Linked DNA regions of Struthio camelus. The protein of the gene in region 1 interacts with the protein of each later gene in a pairwise test. Links are inferred from orthologs where the notes say so. Each region holds a gene or a part of one and is shown in the gene's direction. Other genes may lie near its edges.

Evidence for each region. The genes of interacting proteins can lie anywhere in the genome.
Region 2: the proteins of EML1 (region 1) and ISG20L2 interact in binary tests that used the Homo sapiens proteins (3 or more experiments, as listed by UniProt). The two-hybrid records come from large-scale screens. The link is inferred for Struthio camelus from reciprocal best matches to the Homo sapiens genes EML1 and ISG20L2.

What each region holds. Positions count from the first base shown.
Region 1 is NC_090946.1:69,918,855-69,925,701, forward strand, and holds the start of EML1 (echinoderm microtubule-associated protein-like 1), read left to right. Parts: upstream 1-3,846; 5' UTR 3,847-4,012; coding exon 4,013-4,079; intron 4,080-6,847. UniProt on the Homo sapiens protein: Modulates the assembly and organization of the microtubule cytoskeleton, and probably plays a role in regulating the orientation of the mitotic spindle and the orientation of the plane of cell division.
Region 2 is NC_090971.1:3,528,361-3,536,290, forward strand, and holds the start of ISG20L2 (interferon-stimulated 20 kDa exonuclease-like 2), read left to right. Parts: upstream 1-4,930; 5' UTR 4,931-5,071; intron 5,072-5,852; exon of another isoform or gene 5,853-6,024; 5' UTR 6,025-6,105; coding exon 6,106-6,729; intron 6,730-7,197; coding exon 7,198-7,398; intron 7,399-7,930. Other genes in the region: MRPL24 (large ribosomal subunit protein uL24m), read left to right, coding at 1-76, 187-282, 454-557, 663-793, 892-1,028; METTL25B (methyltransferase-like protein 25B), read right to left, coding at 1,609-2,104, 2,185-2,720, 2,810-2,953, 3,039-3,101, 3,176-3,475, 3,551-3,643. UniProt on the Homo sapiens protein: 3'-> 5'-exoribonuclease involved in ribosome biogenesis in the processing of the 12S pre-rRNA. Displays a strong specificity for a 3'-end containing a free hydroxyl group.

The sequences.
Region 1 (6,847 bases):
TACAGAACTGGATTCAGCTCCCTTTAACCATGTTGCAGTGAATGTGGTCTATCAAATGATTTCTAAAGAGCTTGAGGGGATCTTTAAAAGTTATTGGCAGTAAAATAGATGCTATAATTCCATGCCTTGATAAATTTGAGTGAAACCAGCGTTTGCAGATGATGGTGCTAGACGCTTTGCAGGGTGAAGTTTGCTCTGCTTACAAAATAGGTTTAGCGTGAGCAGCCGCAGTCCCAGCTTTGCCGATTTGGTCTGCGGACATGCAGTAGGCTAACCTGAAAGAAAAACCCTTCAGCCTCTGTGGCGGATTGAGCATTTGCTTCTTCTCCATTCCGCAGAGGGTCCAATAAATCCTAACTCCATTGGTATTTCTGCACGGTGGCTTTGCCACTGCGAAACAAATGCCAACCTCACTCTCTTACCAAGGGCCACCTTCTTCCTCAACGAGCTCCCACGGCAATGGCTTCCTGCCCAGACCAAGATGTGACTTCGTGCATGAGTAGCATTAAGGTAGACTGTCGAGGCAATCACCAAATGGTGAAAAGAGCCTGACGCTGTCCAGTGATAGTGCCAAATGAGCGACCTAGAAGAGTCACTCTTCAGAAGCTCTTCTCTACCCACCAGCTGGAACGTGCTTGCACTGGGCTTTTTCTCTCAGCATGATTGCAAACAACATAGGAATAAAATGTATAATCAGTTTCCATCATTTTAGCGGGTTTTAAAAGGGTCATTGTTTCTGTTTCATGATGACATTGTGTCTGTGACAAGTTGATCTTGATCTGAGAGTATACTTCAGCTATAACATCATACTATAATAGTATACCATTCTATGCAGTTGAGAGTTATGAATTACAATACTTCCGAAACCACTACAGTATAGTTTTGATATTTATTAGTAATGCAAAAGAAATAGAAATAAAAAAGGAACAGGAATACCTCAAACATCAAAATTCGTTGACTACAGTATATAAATGGGGAGTGAAAGCAAATTTTCTTCATCCTAAAATTGGAGTATTACATCCTGAAAATTCTGCTAGCGATGTGTAAAAGCTCTTTTGTTTTCACTTACCAAACAGTTATTTGTATTACACTACTCAATACAAACGAAACTGAAATAATTAGTTACAAAATACAGCTTCCAAACATGTAATGTCGTACACTTTTAACATGCTCAACAATAAGCGTGCACAAGTGTACAATAAATCCCCTCCAAATACATCAATCCCAGTATACTCATCAGGATGATACGCTCTCCTTCATATAATGTCGCATTTTCCAATGCACTGGCTTGGATCTATACAAATGATTAAAGTTATAGTTTACCAAAAAATGGACTATAAAAAGAAACGCTTTCATTGTTTAGCTGTACCACCAGAATTCCCACAGACGCACTAGTGAATCTTTCAGATCTATTGTTCCATTGTTCACACAGCTAGATATAATTTCTTTTTCATTTTGTGGTTTGTAGTGCAGTTTAGTGTAATGAGATTGTAACAGGCCTAGAAATCATTGCAATTAAATTATGATACTGTTTTCCTTTTCTAACCCTTGCCCTCAGAAGATAATGGCACCATAACAGCAACTAGAGACTTGAACGGATATCATTTTATGTCATACCACTGAGCCGATTTTCATAACGTGGTGAGCTGACAGGCTTCCCTGAGGTAACACCTTCACAACAAATTTCACTGGGGAATCAGTTTTAAGGTTTTAGATATTTTACCTTCCTTTAACAATGCTGTGCTCATAGCAGGTTTATGTTTGATTTTCTAAGTGGCTTTTAATTTCCCCTATCTGTAACGCAGCTGTATTGCTCCTTTTTGTCCTTTCTTCTGCTTTTCTAGGCACTGTAAACGTCATTGAGTCCTTACCTCTCTTACTTTTGTAGCATTAGGACTTTCTTGTAGATTATCTCATTGACAGTAAGTTTTTTACTGCAGAAATAAAACTTTTGGATATGCTTTTTCATTTAATCCATTTAGTATTGGAAACCGTACAGACATATATGGAAATTGTTTTGGCATGAAAATCGTACACCATGGCAAGGTTTCACAGAATTATTTACCAACATTTGGACATCTTCAGGAGGTATAGAGTAAGCTAACATTGACATCTTATGGACACCACACCAATAGCGTTAAATTTGTCTCTAGTAAATGGAGAATTAGCATATTAGAACACTTCTCAGGCTCAAAAAGAATAACTTAACCATGGCAAAAGTGTTTTAAAATGAAGAATCTTGTCAATTTGTGCTAAAACTAAGCTGCGCTTTCCTAGTATTGTAACATATCTGCCAAAAAACCTACGTCTGCCAAAAACCCTGTGTGTGTGTGTGTGTGTGTGTGTGTGTACATTTTCTTACAACAATATCATATTTTGGAAGAGTTTGATGGATTAGGCATGACAAGGTCATGAGAAAACCTAAGGGATCCGTGTGAATTTTAAAGAGCAGAAAGAATCAGGGCTCATTTAAAGCATTAAAAAAGCCTATTGTCCTTAGTACTTTTTAAAGTCATTTTCCCTTCTATGCTTTTTGTTTGTTTGTTTTATAATTAAGCTACTACAAACCTTCTCTCTTCTACAGCCTGCAGCTATAGCACGCAGTTGTTTCAGTCAGATACAAGCTAAGCACCATGAGGCTGGGCAGGCACTTGCATTGGCAGTCTCTTCAACTCTACCGACATTGGCACTGGCAACTCAGGAGGGAGCACTTTTCACTCTGCTTTAATGCGGAACTGATATCTCAGCCTAATATTATGGTGTATTTTTGTGTTAGCACTAGTCTGCTTTAGCAGTTGGTGAGAAGACTCGCATGTGCACAGCTCACGCCTGTGAGCGGATCCACACGACAACCGCCCTGCACAAAGCCCCGTAAAGGACTGAGAGCAGAAGACACACCTTGTTAAATGCTTTGGGATATTTCAAGGCGAAAGGTGCTATGGGGTGCAATACGTTATTTTCCTTGTGTCTCTAGAGGAGCTTGAAATAACAGTGGCTTTCACTCATTGCACACTGCAGCATCTCCAGCACAGAAATCGAAGCCAATGAGGTGTAACATAATTTCACAATGTTCCTAACCACAGTACCCTGGCATCAGCATGAATAGACGTTGTATCTGTACCTAGATAAATATTAAGAACAGTTCAAATTATTGTGCTCTCATGTATTAGAAAAGCGTACAGATGGTGGCAGTCTGCAAACTAAATAACTAAAACTATATAAAATTGTCACAACAAATTAGAAGACGTAGCCTTGCTTTTTAATTACCGCAAGAGACTATCAATTACAGTGTTATCCTGACAACGATGTCCTGTACCCAGCTGGAGTACCGCTGGCATCAGCGGAGGACGCAGGCCGCAGTCGCAGGCGGCCGGTTGCTCCGCTGGGAGCGAGAGGGGCTTTACCCAAAACAGCAATGAGCGCAGCGCCCGCGCAGCAAGGGGGGGCCGGGGCGGCTCTCGGGTCGCCCCCTAAAACGCTGCAGGACCTCTCGGCCCGGGGCTCGGAGGCGTTCCCACCCGTGACTGCACCGCTTATTTTCCCAGGGCAGTTTCATCCCCGAGGAGCAGCGATGTCGCTCCGGGTGTCAGCGCCACGCCGCCGCCGCCCGCCGGCGCGGACCCGGGCCGCCGCCCGCCCCGGCCCTCCGCCGCTCTCCGCCGCCCTCCGCGCCCCCTCTTCCCGCGCCATCCCGCCGCCCGGGCCGCGCCGGAGGGGAGGAGCCGCCGCGGGGCCGCGGGCGGAGGCTGGAGGCGGCGAGAGGGAGCCGCCGCCGCCGCCGCCCGCCTGGCCGCGCTGCGCGGCGCGGCGCGGTGCGGCCCGGCCCGGCCCCGCCCCCGCGGGCCTGCCCCCGGCCTGCGCGGCGGAGCGGGCGGGTCGCCATGGCAACTGAGTGAGGCAGGCAGCAGGCCGCCGGCCCCCGCCGCCGCCGCCGCCGCGCCTCAGTGTGTGGCAGAGCGGGAGCCAGGCAGCCGCCGCCGCCGCCGGGGCAGGCCGGGAGCGCCGCGGCAGGATGGAGGACGGCTTCTCCAGCTACAGCAGCCTCTACGACACCTCCTCGCTGCTCCATTTCTGCAACGGTAAGGCCGCCGCCGCGGCTGCCCGGGTGTCGGCGGCCGGGGCCTGCGGCGGCTCCCGGCGGCCGCACCCGGCCCGGCCCGGCCCGGCCCGGCCCGCTCGGGGGGAGGCGGAGGCGGAGGCCGAGGGGAGGGGAGGAAGCTGCGCCGCCCGCCCCCGCCGTGCAGCGGGAGACCCGCCGGCCTTGCGGGACCGGTGTCTCCCCTCGGGAACTTCTCGTGCGCCGGGTTCACGGGCATATGTGCGTGGTGTGTGGGTGTGTTTTACATATCCGTATTTGTGTATTCATTGTTATGTGTTCGTATTTACATGTACACGCGCGCGCGCACGCCCGTATGCATGTGTGTGTGTATCTGCCTCCGTGAGGAGCTGGTACCACCAGAAGCGCTCAGCCGCCGCTGTGCGTGTCTCTGCTGCATGGGTGACATCTGTCCCCCCGTCCGTCCGCCCGCCCGTCCTTCCGCCCGCCTGTCCCATACCCAGGCACAGGACGCGCTGCGGGGCTGGGTCGCGCCGCGGAGGCGCCCGGGCCCGCGGGGCGCCTGTGTGCTGCTGCCCCGCGCGCCGGGCCGCGGCCGGGGCAGGTGTCCCTGCTGGCTGCGCCTGCCCTGCCTTCCTTCCCTGGCGGGGAACCCACCCGAGGGGTTCTTGGGGTTAAAAACCCTCTTTGGCATTAAGATAGTTGGTCTATAGTTACTGTCTGGTTTTTTTTTGTTTTGTTTTTGTTTCAGTAGGGTTTATTCGGGTGGTGGTGTGATGGCAGTGTGAGAGGCAGGCTGGCTGGCGGTGGCACTGTGGAAAAGGAAGAAGGAAGTGAGGAGTCTGCCAGTATCATCAGAGGGAATATTTGCAGGCTTGCCTTGCAGAAGATGTAGAATTATTTAGCTAGCCCTTATTAGCTGATATGTGGGGGGGAAAGACATCCGGCATCCTAAAAATACAGAGTTCTTCAATACAAACTTTAGAATCAAAATGAGGTATTTTGGGATTTTTGCTTTTAGCAGCAACATTGTGAGCGTTTGTAATGTTTCATAAAAATGAATTCGTGCATCTCTTTTTCCTCCAGTTTTTAGTAGTGGTCCAGCTTTCCACTGCTATCTGAACAGCTGGAGTCAGGTTAATATTAAATTGCTTTATGACAGCAACTGCATCAACATAGCTGCCTCTCCTCTTGGAAAAAAAAAATGAAGATGATAAATTTTACATGATTTTCTTTGTGATGTGGGTTATGGTTAACAGAAAATTCAAATACTTGTGGACCTTGAGATTGTGGGAGTGATTTTTCAGAACAGGAGGAATACTGCGTGTGAGCTGTGCATTGTGGTGTGATGCAGTATTTTCAGAGCTCTTTGAAAAAGAAAACTATGACTATGCACGGGGGCTGTACACTAATACCAGATGCCTGTTTTGCCTAAACTTAACAAATATTTTACTGCAAGTACTTTTAAAAAGGAAACATGTAGCAATTTATTTCAAAGTTTATACTCTAATCAGTTTTTAAGCAAGCTGTCTTCCTACCAAAATCTTTAGGTTTTGCTTTTGCAGTATTCGTGATAGTAGTACGCATCTGGGAACAGTGGGAGTAACAACACTCTTTCTGAGTAGTTTGAATAAACAGAGTATCTTGTGTCTGAGAACTGTTACTTATCTTGATTTTTGTAAGTCTGAACACAGCATTATGCATGATGTAAAAGTGCAGTATATATTTATGTCGTACCTACATAGGTTCTAAAATCTTAGTTAATCCTTGAGTATTATGTTCTAGAATGTAGCACTGAAGAGATCGCTTGAGTAGTTAAGTCATGCAGTCATAGCTAGTAAGCTCGAGAGAATGTTGTGAACTTGTATTATTCTGTATTTATGAAAGAAAGTTGTTTGATTCAGAAGCCTTTCAAGAGTTAGCCTTCAGAGAGGCTAAATTGTATGAGATGAATAAGAAGAAGAGAATTGGGCCTTTGAATACTGCCTAGAGGTGATCAGATATCTCACACAGACACACATGACCCATGAGGAAAAAAGTACAGATGGGGGATACCAGTGAGGGTTTTGAGGTTGAAAGAGGAAAAGGAAATTGCTTTGCAGGGAGGTGGAAAGCTCTGGCAAGTATGATGGGCAGTATGAAAGATGGGATGAAGTTGTGGGGAGGGTAGGCATAGAGAAAGCAAGTGATTGTGATTTGAAGAGGAATGTGACTTCAGAATACTAATTTTTATATTTTAGTATTATAGGTGAGGACATAATGGAATTTTTAATTGTCTTGGAGTGAAGAAACAATAAATACAAATGCAAAGGCAAAAATGTCTGTATGTATTATATTTGAAATGATCAGGACGCAAAGCCTGCCCTCCTGTAAGAATTACTGCAGATAACCTATAGGCTGCACATGTGAAAACACAGGTTCAGGGCAGCAAGCAAGCTGTTAACTGGGCACAAGGACTGCTGCAGCTTCTCCTGTTTCTCTGTCCCTTCTCCTTGCGCTGGGCAGGTGGCAGCCGTGCGAGGGCAGAGGATGCTGGAAGGGACGGAGATGAGCCTGTTGGCGGGGGAAGGAAGAGGAAGTGTAGGGCAGAAGTGCGGGGACAAATTTACCCCAACCCTCCCTCTCTCTCTAGAAAGGACGGCGGATTCAGGAGGGGAATTTGAGTCATTTTTTTCCTTTTCTCTACTCCTTCATATGCAGGTATAGTCTGCATGATTTTTCCAGTAAAGGACTTTCATAGCTTATAATGCATGAAAACATGATGAATGGTGAAAGAAGGGAGAGAAGAAA
Region 2 (7,930 bases), on another chromosome or scaffold:
CCCGGGGCGCCGGCGCAAGAAGATCTTCGTGGAGCCCATCAGCAAGGAAGACTGGAAGGTGTTTCGGGGTGACACGGTGAGTCACCCAGCGGCGTCCGCCCGAGGCTCCTTGAGGAGGTGGCCCGAGCTGGGGCCCTTGGCTGGGAGCTGTCCCTGCCGCCTCTGACCTGCTCTTCTCGGTGCCAGGTCCAAGTCCTGACCGGGAAGGACGCAGGAAAGCAGGCGATGGTGACGCAGGTGGTGCGAGCCCGCAACTGGGTTGTTGTGGAAGGCTTGAATACGGTGAGGTTTGAACACGGGAGCACCCCCAGCGTAAGGCGAGGTCCCGGCTGCCGTACGCTCCATGCCCGGGCTCCATGCTCGTCCGGGCAGAGTGACGCCTGCGCGTTTTGGGGTGCCTGGGTGGGCACGGGGCTGCGCAGGGTGTCCATAACCACTGTCACCGTCCCCCAGCATTACCGCTACATCAACAGAATGGCCAAGTACCCTGCGACGTACATCGCCAGCGAAGCGCCCCTGCTGCTCAGCCAGATCTCCCTGGTGGACCCCGAAGACAGGTAACCACCGCGGCAGAGCCGTGACACCCTCCGTGCTGCGGGGCCGGGTGGGTGAGGGAGCCGTGGCTGCGTCCCGGCACAGATCTCCGCGCTCTCCCATGCCAGGAAGCCGACGGAGGTGGAGTGGCGGTACACGGAGGAGGGCGAGCGGGTCCGCGTCTCCCTGCGCAGCGGCCGGATCATCCCCACGCCCCTGCGACACCGCCGGGATGGCATCGTCCCCGAGCAGTGGATAGGTGAGGGGTGAGAGGGGGCTCGCGGCTCGGCATGATGCCGGCTCCCTCTCACCGAGGGACTCCGAGGCACTCAGCGCCGTCCCCTTCGCTGTGAGCAGACGGTCCGAAGGACACGTCTGTGGAAGACGCGCTGGACAAGACGTACGTGCCGTCCCTGAAGACCTTTGAGGAGGAGATCATGGATGCGATGGGCATCGTGGAGACGCGCAGGGCCAAGAAATCCTACTGGTATTAACAGCCCTGGTTGGGGACGGGAGGAAAAGCGAAACGCGCGCCGGGGCTGTGGTCTGGGCCCCTGGGCAGCAGCTTGCAATAAAAACATCCCTTCTTTTACACGGCTGCAGTATGCGGTGGTTTTGAGACCACTTCCAGCCAAGCTAGGAGAGGGCAGGAGTCCCAGGTATCCCAAGCCTGGTCCTCCTGCCCACAGCACTCAGCCCACGCTCCCTCCCTGTTCGCTCCGTCTGAGCCATGTGCTGTAGAAAACCAGCCTTTATTGTAACAAAGACGAGGTCCGAGCTGCACCTTGCAGCCCTTGTCCCCCACCAGCCTTCGCCTCCCCTCCCCGTGCACGCGGGAGGAGGGTGACGGCTTTTGGGGCATGGCGTTCCCCTGCAGTCCGAGCGGGTCACAGCGCTGCGAAATAACCTCGCGAGGCCGCGAGGGAGCCGGCGCAGGGCGCAAGCGCTCCCGTGGTGATGGGGACGGTGGCACGCCGAGGTGGGACGCGCCAGCGTCCCGCCTGCTGCGCTCCGGGGTGCGGTTCCAGACCCAAAACGGGGACGCTCGGCCTTTCCTGGCAGCTGTGGTGCAGCTCAGCCCTGGCTTTGCTCCTCCGTGGACGGCTCTGCCTGGGGGCAGCTTGGTGGTGATCCTCCCGGTGGGGCCACGTCCTCGTCGTCGCCGCTGTCCTCGTCGTCGCCGCTGTCCTCGTCGTCGCCGCTGTCCTCATCCAGGGCCGACAGCACCGGGCCCAGGGGGCACTTGGCAGCCACCAGCACCAGGTTGCGCGGGGAGAACCGAGGGTCAAAGAGGGGGATCAGGGCGCACTGGAAACCTGCGGGGAGAGGCAGGGTCGGTGGTGGCAGCACCCCTGCCCGCACCCTGCAGCCCCGGCACCCACCTTGCTCTCGCAGGTAGAGCAAGCGGTCGAGCAGGATGAGGGTCTCCACCAGCGGCGCCAGCAGCAGCGCCAGGCTGAAGAAGGCCACCACCCTCTGCCCCTGCCGCAGCATGGCCCGTACGGCCTCCGAGTCCAGCTGGAAGGCGGCCGGGTCAAGCCCCACGCGGGGCAGCCCCAGCTGGGCGTACCTGCGGGGACGAAGCGGGTCAAGCCGGGGCCGAATGGGCCCGTTTCGGGGCGGGAGGGAGGGAGGGATGCCCGCGCTCACTCGGGGAAGCTCAGCGCGTGCGCCTTGTTCACCGTCTGCACCGCCAGGCGCTTCTTGCTGGGGTCGGCCGCCCGGATGAGGGTCTCCAGCACGGCCCGGTAGCAGTGGGTCCGCAGGGCGCCGCTGTCGGCCCGCAGCCGCCCGGCGTAGTCCTCCAGCGCGTGGCAGGCCGCTTCGCGCGCCTTGTAGGAGAGCGCGTGGCCCGGCAGCCCCGCCACCCAGGCGCTCAGCGGGTAGCCGAGAGCCGGGGAGGTGGCGGGGGACGCCGGGCGGGTGGAGAGCTTCATGTAGCAGCAAGCCACCGAGGTCAGGGCGGCCACGTGGGGGCTGCGGGCGAAGTGGCGGAGCAAGGCCACGCTGAGGTCGCCGCAGGCGTGCAGCCCCGTGAGCAGCACCCGTTCGGGGCCCCGAGACCCCAACGGGTTCGGGGGGCCGGCGGGCGGTCCCGGCTCCGGGGGCAGCAGCTCGTCGAGCCACGGCGCTCGGGGGTCCAGGCGGCCGGCTACGTGGCGCGGTCCCCGCGGGAAGAGAGGCACCTGGGCGGCGGGTGGGTTACGGTGGGCGGTGGCGGGGAGCGGGGGGACGTTCGGGACGGACCCCGTCCCCGCTGCCGGCTCGCCCTCACCTGGGCGCCGCGCGCCTGGGCTTTCCGCAGCTCCCGCAGCAGCTCCCGGTCGAAACGCTCGGCCGCCTCGACCAGGCGGCCGTCACCCTCCACGGCGGTGACGGGCAAGCCGAGGCCGAAGGCCAGGAAGCGGGAGAGGTGGCCCTGCGAGTCGGGGGACGGACGCGGCGGTCGGCGACACCGCTGCTTCCGTCGTCACCGCGCCGCCGTCCCCGCCGCCTGGTCCTACCTGCCCCGAGCCCACGTCCACCACGCGGTCGCAGCCGGCGGCCTGGCTCAGCCGCTTCACCACCTGCGGCCGGGGGAGGAAGAGGAGGGTCGGGGGCCGCTCCACGGCCGGTGCCGCGGCCGCCGGCCGCTGCCCACCTGGCCCAGGCGCCGGATCTCGTGCTGCTTTTTGGGCTTGACGTGCTTGCGGAGCAGCGGGGGCAGCGCGGCGCTCTGGCAGGGCAGGCGGCGGCGATGGCGGCGGCGGTGGTGGTGGCGGGGGAAGGCCAGCGCCTGGGCCGTCGCCTTGAAGGCCAGCAGGGAGAGCGGCCAGACGGCGGTGACGGTGGTGGCGGCGGGCTGCAGCAGCGCGGCGGCCAGGCGCGGCGCCGGCACGTCGGCCAGCGCGGCCTGCCAGGAGGGCGGCAGCCGGGCCCACAGGTCCTCGGTGAAAAACTCCTGCGGGCGGCAGGGGCAGCGGTGAGGGGCGGCGGCGGCGGCGGCGGTGGCGGCGGCGGCGACGGGGACACTCACGATGACGTAGGCGTCGAGCAGGGGCCGGTAGAGCGCCAGGACGCGGACGATGCTGGCCGCCCGCTGCTGCTCCCGCCGCAGGGGCCCCGCCATGGCGGCTGCCCCTCGCCGCGGCCTCCCGGCGCGACCGTCACCTGGCGAGGCGATGGCAGGGGGCCGTGACGCAGCCCCCCTTGGCAAGGCCGTGACATCACGGGGGCCGCGACGTCACAGGCACCGTGACATCACAGGCGCCACGACGTCACAGAGGCCATGATATAACAGGCACTGTGACATCACAGGGGTCATGACATCACAGGGGGCATGACATCACAGGGGGCATGATATAACAGGCACTGTGACATCACAGGGGCCATGATGTCACAGAGGCCATGATGTCACAGAGGCTATGCTATAACAGGCATTGTGACATCACAGGCATCATGACATCACAGGGGCCATGATGTCACAGAGGCTATGCTATAACAGGCACTGTGACATCACAGACACCACGACATCACAGGGACCATGATATCACAGAGGCTATGCTATAACAGGCACTGTGACATCACAGACACCACGACATCACAGGGACCATGATATCACAGAGGCTATGCTATAACAGGCACTGTGACATCACAGACACCACGACATCACAGGGACCATGATATCACAGAGGCTATGCTATAACAGGCACTGTGACATCACAGGCACCACAACATCACAGGGGCCATGACATCACGGAGGCCATGATATAACAGGCACTGTGACATCACAGGGACTGTGACATCACAGGGACCATGATGTCACAGAGGCTATGATATAACAGGCACTGTGACATCACAGGCACCACAACATCACAGGGGCCATGACATCACAGAGGCCATGATATCACAGGGACCATGATATCATAGGCCCATGACATCACAGGGCTGATGGCATCACAGACACTGTGACATCACAGGGCCTATGACATCACAGGCACCATGATATCACAGGGCCCATGACGTCACAGGCATTGTGACATCACAGAGGCCATGATATCCCAGGGGCCATGACTCACAGGCACCATGGCATCACGCTGCAGCCCAAGCCACCCCCTCCTCCCCAAAGAGCTGTGACATCACGCCGGGGCCTGCCACCGCCACGACATCACCTGTGATGTCAGCAGCGCGGGTTGAGCCCCCTTCGTCACCCGGCCCTACCTCCCCCCAACCCGCCCGCCGGCGGGCTAGAGCGCCCCGCCACCCGCCGCGCCCGCTCACCACCTGGCCCCTCTATGGTTCCCGCCTCAGCGCTGCGCCTGCGCACCGCCCCCTCCCCGCGCGACACGCCGCGCGCTCTCTGAGCATGCGCCAACTGAGGTTGCTGCCGCGGGCGCAGGCGCAGGGCGGCACTTCCGCCCGGCGCGGGGCTCGCGCGCATGCGCGCGGGGGGGGGGTGGGGGGTTGGTTGTTGGGGGCAGCAGCGTGCGCGTCTCTCCGCGCCGGCTCGCGCGTGTTGCCCTCGGCCGGGAGAGGCCGCGGCGGCTTCCGCTTCCGGGTGGGCCCGCGGCGCCGGGGGGCGGGGGGTCTTTGGGGGGGGAGGGGAGGTCATTTTGGGGTGGGGAGGGGGCTGAGAGGGGGCGTGGGGGCCGGTCTGGGGGTGAGTCCTTGTGGGGGGGAGGGCCGGGTGGGCCCTGTAGGGGTTTGGGGGCCGGTTTTGAGGTGGTGGGTGCTGTGGGGGGTTGGGGGCCCGTTTTAGGGTGAGTCCTTTGGGAGGAGGGGGCCTCTTCTGGGGTGGGGAGGGCGGGGTGGGCGCTGTGGGGGGTTTGGGGGCCGGTTTTGGGGTGGTGGGCGCTGTGGGGGGTTGAGGGCTGGTTTTGGGGTGAGTCCTTTGGGGGAGGGGGCGCCTTTTGGGGTGGGGAGGGCGGGGTGGGCGCTGTGGGGGGTTTGGGGGCCGGTTTTGGGGTGGTGGGCGCTGTGGGGGGTTGAGAGCTGGTTTTGGGGTGAGTCCTTTGGGGGAGGGGGTGCCTTTTGGGGTGGGGAGGGCGGGATGGGTGCTGTGGGGGGCTTGGGGGCTGGTTTTAGGGTGAGTCCTTTGGGGGGGGCGAGGGAGGGTTGGGTGTTATGGGGGGTGAGGACCGGTTTTGGGGTGAGTCCTTTGGGGAGAGGGGGTCCCTTTTGGGTGGAGAGGGTGGGATGGGTGCTGTGGGGGGTTTGGGAGCCGGTTTTGGGGTGAGTGCTTTGGGGGGGGTTCTTTTTGGGGTGGAGAAAGCAGGGTGGGTACTGTGGGGGGTTTAGGGGCCAGTTTGGGGGTGAGTCCTTTGGGGGAGGGGGCCCATGTCAGGGTGGGGGGCCCTATCAGAGTGGGCAAGGGCATTTCGCCCTCCTGGAGGGATTTGCCGCGGAGCTGAGCGAGAAACATCCGTTTCTGGCGGTTTCCCCGGGCGCCTGCGGCGAGCTCAGAGGCGGCCTGGGGACGGGGATGCCGAGCTCCCGCTCTCTGTGCTGCAGGCAGGACCGGCTGCGAGGCCGGCGCGGGGATCCCCGCTCCTCCGCGTCCCCACGTGCACGTCCTCCCGCTGGAGCCCAGCCATGTCGGATTTGATCCTCAATGTGAGCTTTGGCCTCTCGGAGCCCTCCAAGAAGGGGTCGGCTGGCAACCGAAAGCACAAGAACTTTCTGAAACGGCGCCGGATCCTGGAGAGGAAGGGGGTGCTGAAGCAAAAGCAGCTGCCGCCGGCCCTGCAGCAGGCAGGGAAAGGCTCACAGAAGAAGTCGGGTTCCTGGGGCAGGAACGCCAAAAAACAGCAGGCTGCAGATGTGGCCAGGAGGGACAGGTCCAAAACATGCCCCAAAGTGAATAATCCCCAGCCCAGCCCAGCCGCGCAGAACAACTCCACGAGCTCCAAAAGGACAGGTTTTCCCCCAGAAACAAAGCAAGCTCTGTGTCCCTCAGTTAAGGGAAAGAAAAGTACCCCTCTCCTCCCCGCTGTGCCTAGCAAACTGGTGGCCATTGACTGTGAGATGGTGGGCACGGGGCCCGGCGGGCGCATCAGCGACCTGGCCCGGTGCAGCATCATCGGCTACGACGGCGACGTCATGTACGACCAGTACATCCGCCCGGCCAACCCCATCGTGGACTACCGCACCCGCTGGAGCGGCATCAAGCGTCATCACATGGTGAATGCCGTCCCGTTCAGCAAAGCCCAGCGAGAGGTGCGCTCCCAGGGGCGCCGAGCTGCGTGACGAGGGGTGGCACGGTCTGGGGTGGGGGGTCCTCCCCGTCTCATGGGGCTCTCGGGGCTGTTTGGAGGTCTGTGGGGCTGTGGGGGACTCGGCCGCTCAGGCGAGGGCTGCCTGCGCGCCCGTCTGCTGCGGATCTCACCTCTGCAGCAGAGGGAGCATCTCCGCGCGCTTCGGCTGCTCCCGTTCAGTCCCACGTCATAGCGCTGACCTCTTTGTGGCTTAAAGTAAGCGCGTGGGTTTCTCACTGGAGCTCCCAGTGCGTGGGGCCGGTGTCATGCTCTGCCGAGGAGCAGTGACTCCCCGCAGAGCGTGACCGAAGGTAAGGATCTCTTACACGGCCGCAGCGCAGCGTGTTGGGGTCTGGCAGGTCCCTCCGGTGCCTGTGTGATCCGGGCTGCGGCAGTTCTGCCATAACCCCCTGTTCTCCTTCCTTCTCAGATCCTGAAAATCCTCTCCGGGAAGATTGTGGTTGGCCACGCCATCTGCAACGACTTCAAGGCGCTCAAGTATTTCCACCCCAAATCGCTCACCCGGGACACGTCCAAAATCCCCTTGCTGAACCGTAAGGGCGGCTTTCCCGAGAACGTGTCGATCTCCCTGAAGCGCCTCGCCAAGCAGCTGCTGCACAAAGACATTCAGGTACCCGACGGTGGTGGCGGCGGCTACCGGGCCTGACGCTGGGGTGTCCCAGCTCACCCCGTGCCAGCCGGCTCCCCGCTCGCCCCGTGCTGGGAAGGTTCCTCCCCGATTTCAGTAGCCGCCACAGGGGGCCGCTGCGAAGCTTCTGCCGTAGCGAGAAACTCCCGAAACCTCCCTTGGAGAGCTGGGAGGAATGCTGTTGTGGGAGGGCAGGATCGAGCCTGTGCCACAGGGAGCAGCAAGGCCTGGCGGTGTCGCAGCAGGCAGGGGCACGACAGGAGTGCGGAAAGGTCCAGCCCTCTTTCTTTGCACTGGCTGGGCTGTAATCAGAGTGCTTGGAGGTGCTTTGCTTCCTGAGGAAGGTTCAGGGATTAACCTTCAGTCACTCCTGATGGTCCTGGGGCAAGGCAGGCCCCTGCCTTGTGCCTCAGTTTCCCCTTCCCTGAAAAGCAGCCCACGGGAGCAGGTGCAGTGATCCTGAGCCCCTCAGAGCAGCCCGCTATCAGGCAGGTTGAGTTGGTGAGGCTTTGCC